2 linked regions of the Oryzias latipes genome follow. The protein of the gene in region 1 binds, or shares a complex with, the protein of each later gene. Links are inferred from orthologs where the notes say so. Each region holds a gene or a part of one and is shown on either strand. Other genes may lie near its edges.

Evidence for each region. Proteins that work in one complex are often made in the same cells at the same time.
Region 2: fnip1 (region 1) and lamtor3 share a complex: the UniProt entries of both Homo sapiens proteins name them as parts of the lysosomal folliculin complex. The link is inferred for Oryzias latipes from reciprocal best matches to the Homo sapiens genes FNIP1 and LAMTOR3.

What each region holds. Positions count from the first base shown.
Region 1 is NC_019872.2:4,917,116-4,925,075, forward strand, and holds the start of fnip1 (folliculin-interacting protein 1), read right to left. Parts: upstream 4,023-7,960; 5' UTR 3,908-4,022; coding exon 3,816-3,907; intron 1-3,815. Other genes in the region: uncharacterized protein LOC101165494, read right to left, coding at 5,052-5,444, 5,541-5,572, 5,710-5,735, 5,871-5,910, 5,996-6,133, 6,224-6,509, 7,294-7,397, 7,545-7,641. UniProt on the Homo sapiens protein: Binding partner of the GTPase-activating protein FLCN: involved in the cellular response to amino acid availability by regulating the non-canonical mTORC1 signaling cascade controlling the MiT/TFE factors TFEB and TFE3.
Region 2 is NC_019880.2:24,348,368-24,356,071, reverse strand, and holds lamtor3 (ragulator complex protein LAMTOR3), read right to left. Parts: upstream 5,339-7,704; 5' UTR 5,273-5,338; coding exon 5,240-5,272; intron 5,156-5,239; coding exon 5,121-5,155; intron 4,966-5,120; coding exon 4,907-4,965; intron 4,540-4,906; coding exon 4,406-4,539; intron 3,760-4,405; coding exon 3,696-3,759; intron 2,628-3,695; coding exon 2,554-2,627; 3' UTR 2,437-2,553; downstream 1-2,436. Other genes in the region: dapp1 (dual adapter for phosphotyrosine and 3-phosphotyrosine and 3-phosphoinositide), read left to right, coding at 1,684-1,803. UniProt on the Homo sapiens protein: As part of the Ragulator complex it is involved in amino acid sensing and activation of mTORC1, a signaling complex promoting cell growth in response to growth factors, energy levels, and amino acids.

The sequences.
Region 1 (7,960 bases):
TGGTCGATCACCGTTAGCTCCACTGAGAAAGTGGGTGTGTGAGTGTTAGCCTGGGGGCGGTGCTGGCAGCACAGACGCTTCCTGGAAGGGCGGGGCTCACTCTACGTCACAATGTGAGAACCCGCTTGTTTTCATGGGTTGGGAGGGGCTGGTGTTTAGAGCACAGGTTTTTAGAGGAGTATGCAGAAGTGCGTAAATGGGTCAAATTACTGCTTTTTTGTTGTTGTGAAGAATGAGAACTATAATACACCTAGAAGCTCAAAAAAGTTGATTTTACATGGTATAGGACATTTAAATGAAAATAAATTAAAAGCATTGCTCCAAATTGAGCTGCTTATGGAATAGAGGTCAGACTTCTTCTACTATAATAAGACCACTTCTCTTTCCATTTATCCTACAGTATAGAACAAAAATTCAAAATAATCAATAACACATATTGCAAAAAAAAAAAAAAAAAAAAAAAAAAAGTTATGTACGAATCACTTTTGCACATACACAATAGGATCTGATAGAATTCACCAATAATGGATGATAAAAAATAAATGCTTTTAAAAGTGTGTATTAAAAGAGGGGTCTACTTAACCCAACAGACACACAGGTTACAAAATATGCATTCTTCATTAACATCCAAAAGTCTGTCTTTGCTTATCCAGCTATGGCTGTGACCACAGCCATGTGATCATTCCAGAAACATGACAGGCCCAGCTTGATGAAAACCTCACATGACACACCACATTCTGAAACCATGTAGTAGGGGAAAGATCCTATTCCAGTCAGGAACCTGAGAAACGTCTTCTCCTGAACCATCATTAATGAAATGACCACTATAAATACGTTCCATGCAGCTTAAAACTTTGCAAAGCCTTCTGCAATGTCAAGCATTTCTAAATGTGGACAAGTATTCTGAGAATCATGTCGTTGCTATTAAAAATATAAAAGTTCACGTAGTTGCAATTATGAATTTTGCATCAATAAAAAAAATAAATCTCCAAAAAAATAATAATAATAAAGTTCTGCGTAATTTTTGAACATCTAAAAATAAAAAAAAGTTTTTTCCTTAAACATAACATAAATGTAAAAAGTTTTTTTATTATTATTAATTCCTGTGTATTGCTTCTACAGACTCCACACATTTCAGCACAAGCTTATTTTTAAGGAGCTGCATGACACAGGTCAAGAGGGAGGGTTTCCTCAGCAGGCTCCCGTGACAAGCAATCTGAGTCGCGGCACTGGAGACCGGCTGCAGATGAGCCAGAAACTCTCGGCGTATCGTACAGTACGCTTTCCATGGCTCAGGAGTTGCAGCTATGGAAACAAGAGAGGCTTTTAGGCTTTACTGCAGGGTGAGCCAACCCTCTACCCTCTGTGGTATTTTGAAAGCCACAATGATGCGGTCCGATTATGTTTTTGGTTGTTGACGCTTAATGTAGGGCAGCAAGATGTGAACAAAGACTAAGTTCAGTCAAACTTATTTGTGTGATTGTATTAGATGTTCTAGTTCCTTTATTCAGTCAGACTTAGGATTCAGGTTTGGAGTTTCTAGGACAAAGTGCCAGGAACCTCCAAATAACTAATAATAACTAACCCAGGCTACTTATAACAGCATTTAAAACAGATTTCTCACTGGTGACTGAATTAACCTGAAACTTTCTCCAGTCCAGCTGTTCCTCATACACATTCTAATGAAAGATACTTTAAAAAAATGTATTTTCTTTAACTCGGAAAACATTCATTCAGTATCCCTTGTATGTAAAACTACACTAGTCATAAATATTAGCACCCAAGTGTCCTTTCCCTACTGTCTATAGACAGATTTCTCCCCTTCAGAGCCATTTCATGGTTGATGAATGGGGGAAGCTTTAGCCAGAGGTATGAAGAGCACAGCTGACCACAGAGTTAACAGAACCGCCTGCTGTCTGTTTGCTCTAGACTGATGCCAACCAACACCAACTACTAAGCCTAATTACACATTTACACATGCGTCACTTTTTTTTAAATCACCTTTCTGGCCATCAGATGTGCTATAGCCCATGCTGGGTAAAGTGCCAGCAGCCTAACAAGAAGATGAGCTTTCATGACCACAAATAATTCACAGTTAAAGGACAACATGCGACATTGCCCAGTAAAAACGTAGAAATTCAAAGATTCCCCATTCAAAGCATACATTACTCTCATCTAGAAGGTGTGCTAGACTATCCTAGACTATCCTAGAAAAATAATTTCGGTGTAGTATTTTATCAAATACAGCGACAGTAATAAAGTAAAAGTCAACTTTTAGTTCTAATCAACTCAAACATGACATAACTTTAGCAAACTATAGTACAGACATCACTTTAGTCCAAATACATTTAGTTCATAATCCTAATTCAAAAATATATTTTGAAATACTTTTTTGAAAGCAGTATTAAAAATATATGAACATTTATTTTGCAATCTGTTTATGCACGAATGCAGTGGAAAGCAATTTTTGATTACTTTATTTTTACTAATAGATAGTTGTAAAACATACTAGATTTTGCCTCAATAGACACTGCTTTTGCAGTATCTGATAATAGGAATATAAAATACATCATTAAAAAGATAAATTAAATTATTAAAAGGTAGTTAACATCAGCAGAAATAAAACAAAATAATCTGATATGGGGGAAAAAAAGGTGAAAAGGCATTTATTTTCTTTTTCTGACCAAATATGGATCATTACTGGTTAGGGAAAACAAAACAAAGCACTGCAACATGAGAATATTTTTTTTAAAGATTTGTATACAAGCAAAATACATTTCTGAGGTGATGCTCCAGCATTTTTTCTTTAATTTTTAAATGTACAGTTCCACAACCCTTTTTCATATAACTAGCGATTTAAGAGTAATAAAAGTGGAGATGCAATAAAATATCAAAATATTTGCATATAATAAAGTTGCTTTTGCATGAAAAACATGTTTTTATTGGTGTAAAGCAATAGTCACTTTTAACCCAGACAATTCTGGTGGAGTTCTTTGTGTCTCAATTTCTAAAAATAAATAAATACAATGAAATTGTTACAAGTTTTGCTGTTTTATTGTGCATTTATATGTAAAAGAGGTCATTTTGTCCGTTTATTTCAAAGTGCCATCATATATTCGCAAAGGCATCCCATGTGAGAACTGTTGGTTCAGAAGCAGATCCGGACCGTCAATTCTGCATCTCCAAACGGGCCACGGAAGCTTTCACATGTCATCCGACAGAGCACACTGTGTCCTCCCTCTATCAGACCGAAACGGCGGAATACAATATCATCTGTGTACTTTGCTCCACGTTCAGCAAAGATGAGCAACACGGGAGAGGGTCTGCGCTGCCCTGCACGCGCTCAATTACTGCCAAAGACACAGAAAGGGAGGCACGAGGAGAAACAAAGGAAAAAGAGCGGCACACTGCTCCCTTATAACTTCTATAAGCAACAAACACAGACTCGCTAAAAGCTCAGAGTTTGTTTTAGCTACAAAATCACGTCATACACGGAACAATATTGGTTTAAATGTTTGGGATGAGATCGATATTGAGCCAAGTCGCACCAAGAAAGCGTGTCCTGCAGCTCGGCTAGTTGTTAGCATTAGCATGCTAGCTTCCCGCAACAACAGTCACAACACGTATCCCACGTACTTTACTTTACTTGTATACAAAGAGGTGCACAGGGGCTATTTAGAAGCCACACTTCCTAAACATTTACCACCCGAAGTTATACTTTCTTACCAAACAATACAGTGAATTTAATAAATAAATAAATAGCGCACACAACATTACACACACAAACCCCGAACAAACACACACAGGACAGCTACCTGAAAGCGACGTCTTCTTTGCTGCATCTAGGTGGTGGCGATGAAAATGCATTCTTCTTGTTGAAAAGTTTGTGGAAAAGAGTTGGAGGCATTTTGTTCCCACAACGAATTCGGCACGGATACCCGTTCTTTTCAAATCCACAAGCAAATTTTGTTCCTTGTAACTGTCTCCATGGGTGTCAGTCATATGACAGGCATTAGTCACAGGAGCACCTTGGTAACCATCTACATTTTCCTGATTGGCTAACCAGATACGGCTGCTACTACAAACTACGCGATTGGCTTATATTTTTGGACTGGAACCACGTGACCACAGACTTTTCCGTGTTGATGTTTTGTCTAGAATCGTTACGTCACTAAATTTAGTCTTTTACACCGGTTGAACTTCGGACAGAAACATGCTATAAATTTAACACTTATTTCACAAATATCCTTTTAAAAACAAAACAAAAAAATCCTAAATTGTACGTATACAGTGGAATACATTGACATATATATTAATGTTTACAGAACGTAATTTAATTTTAAATAGTTTTTATTTCACAGTTGTAAATTATACAAAAGATGAAGGTTTTACTATTTTGACTAATTTGCGCATTCTCATTTTTATCAAAAAGACACCTTTCAAAAATGTAACAACCTGATATTCAAAGGATTATTGAAAAAACATTTATAGAATTTTGAATATTAAAATAAAAACGTTGGCATACGTTTAACACGTGTTATATTTATTTTTATTTTTTAAAGAGGACAAGAAAACTGATACAGATGCGCCACCTAGTGTTCAACATTCACAACACATTTGGATTACATGCAAACATTAAAAATACAGGCTCTAACATTGTTTTTGCTTTATATAATATGCAGATACATTAAAAGAGGTTACAGAAGAAACAAAGCTATAGAAACACACATTACATATTAAAATATACCCACATCTTGTATAGTTTTATAAGGTTTAAAAACTCTTATTAGTATGTTTATTTTCTTGATGTCCTATACTGAAAAAGAAAATACAAACATTTACTGTTTTGAAGGCATTCATGTTTTATATCAAACTAATTTATGAGCTAGTTCTCTTTATTTGCCATTGTATTTGTTTTATTAATTTATCCATGTCTTCTAAAGTCAGAGTCATTTCTCACAGAGAGCATGTTCGTTCCAATCATGTTTTTATATTGTCATTTAGGCAAAAACTATGTTGTGCAACTGTACACTGTAGTATCAGAGTTAACTTCAGGTTAACTCAGATCTGCTTTTATTACGCAGAGGGCTTTGGGTGCCTACAGTAAAAGGAAAATAAAATGAGCACCTAAGTTTTGCACTTCTATCTCTCATGTTCTGAAAGAGAGCATCCATGTCAGCGTTGCTGGTAAAGTCAAAGAACATGGTTTTCTCAGTCTCAACAGGCCTTTTTGGGGTCACCGTTATTTCTTTTTTAGAGCTGATTTCATCCATTTTGGGCGTCTGTGCATCTGGTTTCGTCCGCTCAGAAACTCGGGATAGTTTCCGGATGGTGTCATTTATGCCTGAAGGTGATGGAGCATGTTTTTCTTTCAGAGGCTCAGAAATGACCGGGCTTTTGAATGATACCCTTTTTCTGCACACTATGGGCCTTCTCCCAACAAACTAGGGCAAAAACACAATTATTCAACTGCTACTGAAAAAACACAGTTGATTAACAAAAAACATTTAAAATGATGAAGTAACACATATTTTTCTTACATCTTGTGCAGGTTTCATCTCCTGAGATTTATCTGTAGATGCAGATTACAAAAAAACATAGGTATAATTTGGTTATAAAAATGGATTTAATACTATAAAAACAGAGAAACTTATAAATCATGTAGCTTAAAAATATTTCCTAAATTAAATGAATCAATTTGTATCTTACTTTCAGTGTGAGTTTCCTTCTGGTAGCTTTGTAGGGGGGGAAAAGACTGGTTGATTAAATATTAATTGCACAACAGCTTTCTTTCCAAAGATGTCAGCACTGAAACAACATTTAAAATCATTTCATAAATTTTTTAATGCAGTATTAATATATCCACTCACCTGCTCTCACTGTTCTTTTCAGCAACGTGTGTGGATACATCTAAACACAAAAACTATTGTAATTATTGAATTCAAGTTGAAAAAAAGTTCAGGTTGTCATTTCAATATTTTTTTCAAGTTTTCACCTATAATAGTGGACATGTTGGGTGGATGATACGTGTGGATGCTCTTTGAATGGCTTTCATCCAGCAGGGTAGAGTTTTTAACATTACAGATAATCCCAAGCATCTCCTCTCCATTAAGGAAAGTCTGTGTTTCCACTGCTGAAACAAGCCATGAAAAATATGACAAACTGTCCAGAAGAAACACAAATATTTCTGGGTAGATTTGAAGCCACACACAAAAACCACTACCTTCTCTTCTGAAAATCTCTGGGGAGGGATAACTGCTTAGGTTTGTCGAGGTAGAGGAGGATCTGCTGTCGCCATGCTCCTCTGAGTTAGACGTTGAGCTTGTTTCCATGACAAAAGATGTGACACTTTCTGGAGTGTCTCCAGCTCCAAAAGACTGAAGTATTGGAGAAGCTTTATTGCTTGCATTGCTTGTTTGCAAAATTTTTTGACGGTTAATAGGAGTTGCAGTTTTTTTACAAGGTTTAAAGCATGACACTGAAACGCGATGGAGAGGCGCAGTGTTGGCCTGCAAGTACAAAGAATAGTAGGGAAGTCTGGAAAAATAACATGGCAACTGTACACGGTCAAATTAGAACTGTTCTAAGCAAAAAGTAGGAAACTCAAAGTTTATTGGTTATATCTATTACATCTGTTACATCTATTTTATTAAGTATACTTAAGTATAAGTCAAGCAATACCATAGACTATGTGCATGTAGTGTAGGTAGTATACCAACTAAATACTTCTTCAGACTTAATTGGAACATTTTACGTTTACAATAAATTGATAGTATTTGAAAGTAAACTTTATTACCCCACTTTTAGTGCAGACTAAGTATACTTTTAGAACTCTTGGAAAAGACAACTTTTTGCAAAAGGTTCCCTTCCGAAAAAATTAGTACACTTGATGTTTACTGTATTAGGTTTACTTAGGTAGGTATAGCTATAGATAATACATGTGGTGTAGGAAATACGCTCAATGAATACTTTTTCAGACTAAATTGGAACATTTCAAGTTTCAAATATATTGATAGTATATGAAAGTAAACTTCAATTATACTACCTCACTTTCAGCGTAGACTAAGGATTCTTGTAATACCCTTAAAAAGACTATTCTGCAAAAGATTGATTTTAAAACAAAATACAATAGATTCTCAATTTCTGAACATTTCTAAAATAGACTCAGTTTTCTTTTAATATTTAATATTAATCTATTAAATATTGAATATTTTTGTTTACTTTCTCAATTAAACGTTGTTTATATTTCCAGAGTTAAACTGGGAGTTGGTGCACTTTATTTTGCAAACTTACCAACACTGCGCCTGCGCGTCGACCTGTGGAGAAACTCGTGCCACCATCTTCACATTCCTCCACTAAAGTGTCAAAATGTTTGTTCGGAAGAAGTCTCCTATTTCCTGAAACAAGTGATGTAGTTGGGTGTGGGATTACAACAAGAAAAACAACAACAAAAAATACCTGGGGGGGGGGGGAGTTCAGTGAACGACGTCATTTCCGCTTAAGATTCAAAACTTCACGTTAGGTCTGAAATGTTTGTTTCTTACGGTCTCGCCTCCAGCGTGTCGGTTTCAGTGGAGTGTCTCTTTTTTTGGGGAAGCCACTGTCACGACGGAGTCTAACCTGGCGTCGGTATCGGTCCATTTCAATTTTTTATATTATTTTATCACTCAACTCTAGATTTTCCACTTGGCGACCACACGCTTGGAGACAGGGCTGTCGTTGTCCGGCGGTTGCCTGGCAACCGAGAACACCTGCGTCCACTATTTAATTAGATGACTAAGTATTGCATGAGATTTTTCTTCTTTTTTTGGTGATTTTTTATCAAACAAAACAGGTAAAAATAATACAATCTATAATACAACTGAAAACACCAAATATGTAAATTTAAAGATTGCAGGATCACCTGACAACACTTGTGTGTACAAAGCTGAGGGACATGTCAAACAAAAAATACATATTT
Region 2 (7,704 bases), on another chromosome or scaffold:
GGAGCAAATCGTGTCTGTGCAGAGCAATCGGACTTAATACTGTACGTTTTGTGTATGAGGGGCGGATGCGTTGTTACGTGTGGGAGCCTTCAGACTGCCATCGGCCCCGCAGCTCACACGACACGCAGTCTCCAGCTCACACGGAGGCTGTGAGCGTTTCAATGCAAATCTCTGCTCAGTCCTTAGAAACCGTTAACACGACCACGTCAATTTGTGTTTCCAGTCGTGTCCCGACAAAATAAAGGCTGATATTATTGCCACATATTTACGTGCAGCCAGCCGAGTCACTATGACTCAGAGGTAAATGCACTCCTGAGCATGCGCTGTTCTCTCCGTCACGCAGCTGACCGGCTTTTCCAAACCCGTTGGTGATTTTTTCACGCTGCTTTTAACGATTGCTTTTAACTTGAAAGCTTCATCATATTGTAGCGGCGATCACGTGCACGTTGGGTCTAATGGCACCAAAGGATTCTGGGATGCGGCTGGACATGCGTGTTTCGTTTTGTTGAACCATGACTGAAGTGTCTAAGACCTGAAGTCAAGTCCATGCTGTTTGGCTGCTTAGAGGTGTGTTGAAAAACAAATGACTTGTGTTTGATGTTAGAGAATTCAAACTATTCACTGTGTCCAAAAATACGTACACGGCGGCCGCCAATAAAGTCCAATAATTAGCCGCGTCACTGAATAAGCCGCAGGACTGTAAGCGCAGGAAAAAAGTAGCGGCTTGTAGTCCGGAAATTACGGTAATCAATTTTTCTAACATTTCTATTACCTGTGAGGCAGAATTTCCCACACATATATGTGACATTTAAAAGCACTCTGATATATATGCTAAATATGAAAATAAACATCAATGCTAAATATAAACGCTTATACGTATAAAAAGGAAAAACTGTGTTTGTGTTCCAATGATGTGTGTAATAAGTTATAAATTCTACATCTATAATATTTTCCAAGAGCAGTTAGTAATGATGCCTTTTGGCAACTCCTTGTCAAATAAGTGCACGCTGAAAACAAAAATGCTCCTTTTGGTGACTTTCTAGATTTGTTTTTTACAAGTAGAATCTTCAACTTTGGCCCCTCCCCAGAGTGACATTAACAGAACGGGATATGCGTGCAAATGTATTTAGCTCAGTGGCTGTGACGGGGTTCTTCTCAGCAGCAAAAAAATAAATCACTCTGAAATAAGATGCCCAAGCCAGCAGACTCAAAATTTCAAAAATGGGATTTTATTGACCCCCCCCCCCCCAAAAAAAAAGAAAAAGAAAAGAAAAATCAGACAATAAATTCAGCTGATTTCGGGAGAGCCTGTTGCCACCACTGCAACCAAGACCGCTCTCCCTCAACTGGGAAAAGTAAGTTCACCCCTTATGAAGGCTTAGCCCCTCCCACAGGCATCCCAACACGTCAATGCAAGGGTGGGGTCATAGGATAGAACAAGGGTTAATGGGTTCATGTCTGCCAAACATCCAGAGCACCCCCCATGAAATGTCCCCATAGGAAAAGTTTGAATAAGAGGTTTGGTTTGTAAAGAAATAAAAAAAAAACACCATTAAGACGTATGTTTTAGAGATGGAGATGCTGGGAGTTGAGACAGTCACTTAGCTCTGCAGACAGAGGTTTATGTGCACGTTTTTGTAGCTTTCAGGCCATGAATCTGTTGGGTTTGTTTGTGCTCTTCAGGCCTCCGTCGCTGTGGCTCATGTTGTTCACGGCCTCGTGTTTGTTTGCAGTCACAGACGAGAAAAGGTCGATGACGGACCGGAAAGCGCTCCGGCTGCAGAAGACGGTCCTGACCGCTGATGGAACCCAACATCCTCCTCAAAAAAGTGCATTTATTTTGAAAAACTGTTTGAGTTCAGGTGCTGAGGATCGACTGTCGGCTGTATGTTAAAGACTGAAAAAATATCCAAAGTATTTTGGTCAGAAAAGCCTTCTGTTTGTTCTGGAGTTTCAGCTAAAGTGGACCAGAGGAATGTTGTATAGATTCATGTTGTTCAAAATAGATCCCCACCTCACTTTAGTTGTGTATTATATTTGCTGTTTTAGAATAAATATTTAAATCACTGTAAAGACACTGAAAGTTTGACTTCAAAAAATATCTCAGATGGAGGTGGGGGGGTGGGGTGTAAGGGTGGGGTCATCTGGACCCCATAGGATAGCACAAGGGTTAAAGTTAATCTGAATATCAGAGACGAGAAAAACGTGGATTATATTTTTCAGATTACACCAAACATGACTGTTTGTCATATTGTGAATGTAAATGAAATATAAAAGTGATTTCTTTGTTTTTTTTTAAAAGTTTTTGTCAGATTTTAATTCCATTTTTTTACGTTCCAACCTAACCAATAATTTTGGAATCATGAGAATCATCTTCAGCGTGGGACGCTTTTGTGGTTCTTCACTCTTCTCAGAGAAAAAAACAAACAGTGGAGCTCCTGATGGAAAAGCTTTTATTCAAGAGTTAGAAATGACAACGCAAGGTGAGAAGTTTGCAGCAGAGGCGACGGTAGAAACTGTAGGCGGGTTTTCTTAGCAAAGCATCATGGGACTTTATGTGACCTCCACCACCTGCCTCAGCTCCTCCATCAGAGGAGCCAGCTCCTTCTCCAGAGTCATGATGAGGCCTGAGGACAGAAAAGGAGGGTTTTTACAAAACGCCTCCCACTCGTGTGAAAAACCAGATGGATTCATTTTCACAAAGCTGGATGGCTCCTAACTGGAGTCTGTTGCTATGGAAACAATCTGACCCTACCCTGGTCAGGATCAGGTTTATCTGGAGAATCCCCTGACTGCATATGAGCACTGGACTGAATGTGACATCACACAGAGAAAATGGTTTACCTCCAGCTCCAACCACATGAAGTCAATTCACTCGCCATTTTTTCAGGATATATAAGCAGCGATAAGTCAATCTGAGTCCATGTTTCTATGGCAACCACTCTCACCAATCAGGAGTGAGCTTGTTGGAACTCCACACCCCTACCACCACTTAAAAGACATGAAATCTGTCGAATGGATACTCTTATCTGATTGGTCAGTTTATAACTTGAACCACAGAAAAATATGACGATCATAAAAAAAATGTATCCGAGTAAGAATACTTACTCGGATCAAAAGACTGAGTAACAGCTGTCTATTTCTCTGTAGGATTAGGTACTTCCTGTTTGGAACGCCAGGGGGGGAGGGCTCACTCTAGGTTTTGATTAGGCCCCTCCCACCTGAGTCTGCAGGATGGGTCAGACTCACAGGATTCATCTTTTGTCAGAAGGGGTTTGACAAGAACTTTTTTTCTTCTTTTCACTAAATATAATCCAGAACATTCCTGGAGATTCCCGTCAGACTAAATGATCTGAAATGTCGGGTTTTTTCTCAGATAAACTTCAACTTCTTGGCTCTTGAGCCGTATTTTAAATGCCAGTATTACCACATTGCAACATATTTTGGACGATGATGCTGAGTCACTTTCTCTGCTTTCTTTCATTTGGATGATGAAAAGGCCTCAGGTAAAAGTTTTTGCGTTTCCATGGCGATATTTCTCCTTCCCCACGATGCAGCAATAAGCTACACACGAACAGCGGGGTGCACGGAGATGAAGACTGAGATCATTTTAAGACACGCTCTGTTCAGAGAACATCAAACAGACTGCAGATAACCAGTGGGCGGGGCTCCTCAGACACGCCTCCTCATCTCACCTGTGTTGGCGCTGCTGCTGGCGATGAAGCTGACGACCAGCGGCAGGCGGTTAAACTGCATGATCTGTCGAGCAGAGACAGCAGACGGGTCACAAAGGCAGAACCAGAGCAGAGTCTGGTTACCATGGAGATTGGCCGGGTTAGGCTGGTTCAGAGCAGAAGGAATCCATCAGAGTGATTTGGTTTTTTTTTTTACTTAGCAATAAAAAAAACCCAAATATTTTCACTTCTCTGATTTTTCTTAAAAAAACTCAGGAAAAAGTTCAGCTGGCTTAACAAATCATGAAAAACAAAAGAAGACCAACAGATTCTGAGATTTTCCTCTGCTGGACGTTTTGTCTGCTCCATCAGAGGATAACGTTTGCAGACTTTTCTCCTCTCTGTCCCAGCAGAAGTTCTTCTTTACTCTCAGAACCCTCTGACATTTACAGAACCTGCTCTAGTGCTTCTGTTGTGATCCGACTCCCATGGATCATCTCATTTCAGTCCGTCTCACTCTGCTTTTATGTGAGGCTATTCTCTTAATCCCACCCCCAAAAGTTTACAAACAGGAAGTTTGTTACTATAAGAGACGATGGAGACTAGAGTCTGGTTCTGGATCTGACCCGGACCGGACACAAACTGGCAGGAACCGGATGAAGCGAGCGCGGGTGAAAGGCGCCGGTGTTCCGGCTGCCACGCCCCCACGCGGTGATGCTGGGAGGGGTCACCTGGTAGGTGTTGTAGTAGCAGATGATGCTCTTGTTCTTGGAGAGGCCCAGCTTGCTCCCCTGATCCGTGGCCAGAGCGAACGTGGACAGGAAGCCCGGTCTGAGCGCGTGCACCGGAACGCTGTCGTTGGCAACTGGAGGAAAACAAGCAGGCGTGTTAGGATGAGGACTTCCTGCTGGTGAGCGGTGCGTTCAAAGACCAGGGCCAGAAAAAAAAGTCAGAAAAATCCCCAACAGTTTGACCCCTAAAATGCAGATGAATGAGTCTTTTAGATCCATTTTCTGCTCTACTTTGGTGACTTCTAACCTAAACTCGTACGAGTGGAGCCAGAGCTGAGTCACCCCAAACCATGAAACTACTGCCACAACAAGAAGCTGCTGAGGCTGAGGATAAAGCGTTCCTGTTGAGTAGCAGGTTGGCCCTGAGGCCAAAAGTATTTCTAATAAGTTATTAAAACACAGTTTATTGGAACAGAAAACCCGAAACAGAAGAAGTCTCACCTTTGATTACCGGGACGCCGTCTCGGTCCGTCACCACGATAGCGTGAAGCCCGTCAACACTGAGGACACAGAAAACTACTATTTACATGTGATATAAGATACAAAAACTCTTTTTTGAGAAAAGAGATTTGATTTATAATACAGATTTTTTTTTCTTGTTATATAGTTAAAGTAAATCACTTTGTGCAATAACAATAAGGGACAAAAGCCTCACCTCTGCATCTGTTTGTACAGGAACCTCTTCAGATCCTGCAGACGGGAGCATAAAGAGTTAAGGAGCAACCTCAGAAACAGTCAAGAACGTGGACGTCTGTGAGCTTTAGAGCTTCAAACCGTCAGAGAAGATCCTGGTCTCCCCACCACCATTTTCACCCAGCATTACTGACAATAGTGACCGAGTAACCGCTGTTAATTTCTCCAAAGAAGTCTATGGGATTCTGGCTTCTTGGAGCCAACAGGTACTTCCTGTTTGGACAGCCAGGGGGAGGAGTCACCCAGTCTAGTTCTCATAAACAGTTAATGGAAAAATGTCACGTGACCTCTGTAGAGCGTCTGTTTTTAACACAACATATCCACATGTATAGAACAGAAAGAAATAAAGATGAAAATTAGGACTGTAGTCTAATACAAATGTAATATAAAACTAAGGGTTGTTACACAGCTTATCTGTTTTGCACTTTTGTTTTAATAAACTTTAGTGATTAAAAAAAACATATCTCTCTCTAAAATTTATTAAGTAATGGTTTGATTTTTTTTTAAGAATTTGCTGTTGTGAATGAAACATTAATACAATATTAAATGCCAAATGAAATAATTTATCACCTACAAACCATCCCACATGATACTGTGTGTTTTTGTAATTAGAAGAGAATAGTGAACTTTGAGCATCTTCCCAAAAACTAAAGAGTTTTTAGTGAAGCCTAACAGAACAGGAGGTGCTAAAGGAGGACAGACAGACTCACGTCCGCCATGGCAGCTCCGAGGACCCAAGCCGGTTCCGTCACAGGAAGTCAGGAGAACCGCCGGCTCCGAATCCAAAACACGACGAGCCCGTCCGGAGCGTTTCCACAGTGAGCTCGGTCCTCTGAACGTTTAAACAAACAATCAGCTGATGCTACCACCGTGAATTTCCAAAGAGCTGCAGTCACGTGACGCTTCTTCTTCGCTGTCACGTGACGCTTCTTCTTCGCTGTTTTAAACTGCCGTGTGCTCTCTGCTCCCCCTGCTGGTGGTCAGACGTCATGGTTCATCCATGGTCAAACCAAGTCTAATGTTTTTTGTCTTCTTTTGACTGGGAAAAATGTAGATAGAAAATATATTAGAACCTCCATCATAGTTCTGGACTAAGTGAAGATTCTAACATTACTTACAACTGATCGAAATGTGCTGGCAACATATTTCAATAAAGTTGACTAAAACTTTATTTTCCAATTATTTTGAATTGGAAATTTCTTTTAAACTTATTCTAAACACAGCTAAAATATTTCGCAGCTACTGCCACCTACAAGAAAATATTAGTATTTGGTCTCCAATCAGATACAATATATTGATTTATTTGTCCGGTATTGTAACATCCCTTATTATAGATTATTATACTGTCTTGCTGTCCCTGCTGAAAGCCCGTCGTCAGTCCATCCATCAGTAACATTTGCCCAATAAAAGTCATTAGTTCTTTTTTCAGCAGAGCTGCCTCCTCCAGATCGGTTGTTTCTTTCTGTGTGGATTGCTCAGGTGGGTGTCGTCACCTCCAGGGTCCTTTGTTTCCAGGACATTCCAGGCACTGCAGCTCAGGCAGGAGAAGGTTTCTGATCATGTTCTTCAGAACAGGTGAGACGTGAACTAAATCTTCAAACGTTCATCTTCCAATTGTCAAATGTAGTTTTAGGGGAAAAAAGCCCAGACACAGACATGAAAGAGTTCATGTATGAGAGGTATTTGGAAAAAGGAAGCTGTTCTCCTAGAAAACGGTCTTCGGTGCAAACACAAACATGGAAATGTGGGCGTGGTCTGAAGGAGCTTCAAGGGAATCCATTCAGACCACAGGAACCTGCTGGACCGGTTCAGAGGGGATCTGGGTCTGACATAAGTCCCAGGTTCAAAAAGGTCTCATGCAGCGGCTGAAGAGACGATGGAAGCTGCAGAGGAGCAGAGCGTGGAGACGTGAAGGTCAGAGCAGTCGGACACACAGCAGGACTCATCAGGTCTGAAACATATTCTGCAGCTTCACTGCTGCCCCGCCATCACGCCGTCCCGTCCCACCCGTCCCCCCTCTTCTGGAGGAGCCATGAAGAGCTTCTGCTTCCGTCTCAATGAAACCATCCGTTTTTAAAGGTGAATCTTCAGAAGTTTCTCTGTGTGTTGATTAGTTGACATGAACATTTTGATTATGACAACCAGCCTTTACAAACATATCACACACATGTTTATTATAATGTCATCATTCAGAAAACACACAGTTGGAGAAAAAACATTCAGGGGAAGAAGATGGACGGTGTTCTCACAGATGACTTCATCGAAAAGACTTCTGAGGAGCTTCTCCTCCTCCTCCAGACGTTCCTCCTTAGATCAGAAGAACGTCATCAACCCAGGAATGTGTGATTAAAGCGCTCCTTACTGTCTGTGTGACGCCATCAGGGGGCGGAGCTAAACAGATCTGAAAAGGCTCTCCAGAGCAGACGTGGGAAAGGTGAAGCAGAACTTTAAAAGGACCCTCCTGTGATAAAGTCTAGACAGTCTCTTCTGCCCGCTCTGGCAGGAAGTCCACGTCTGCGTCCATCAGCTCGTGCTTCACTGAAGCA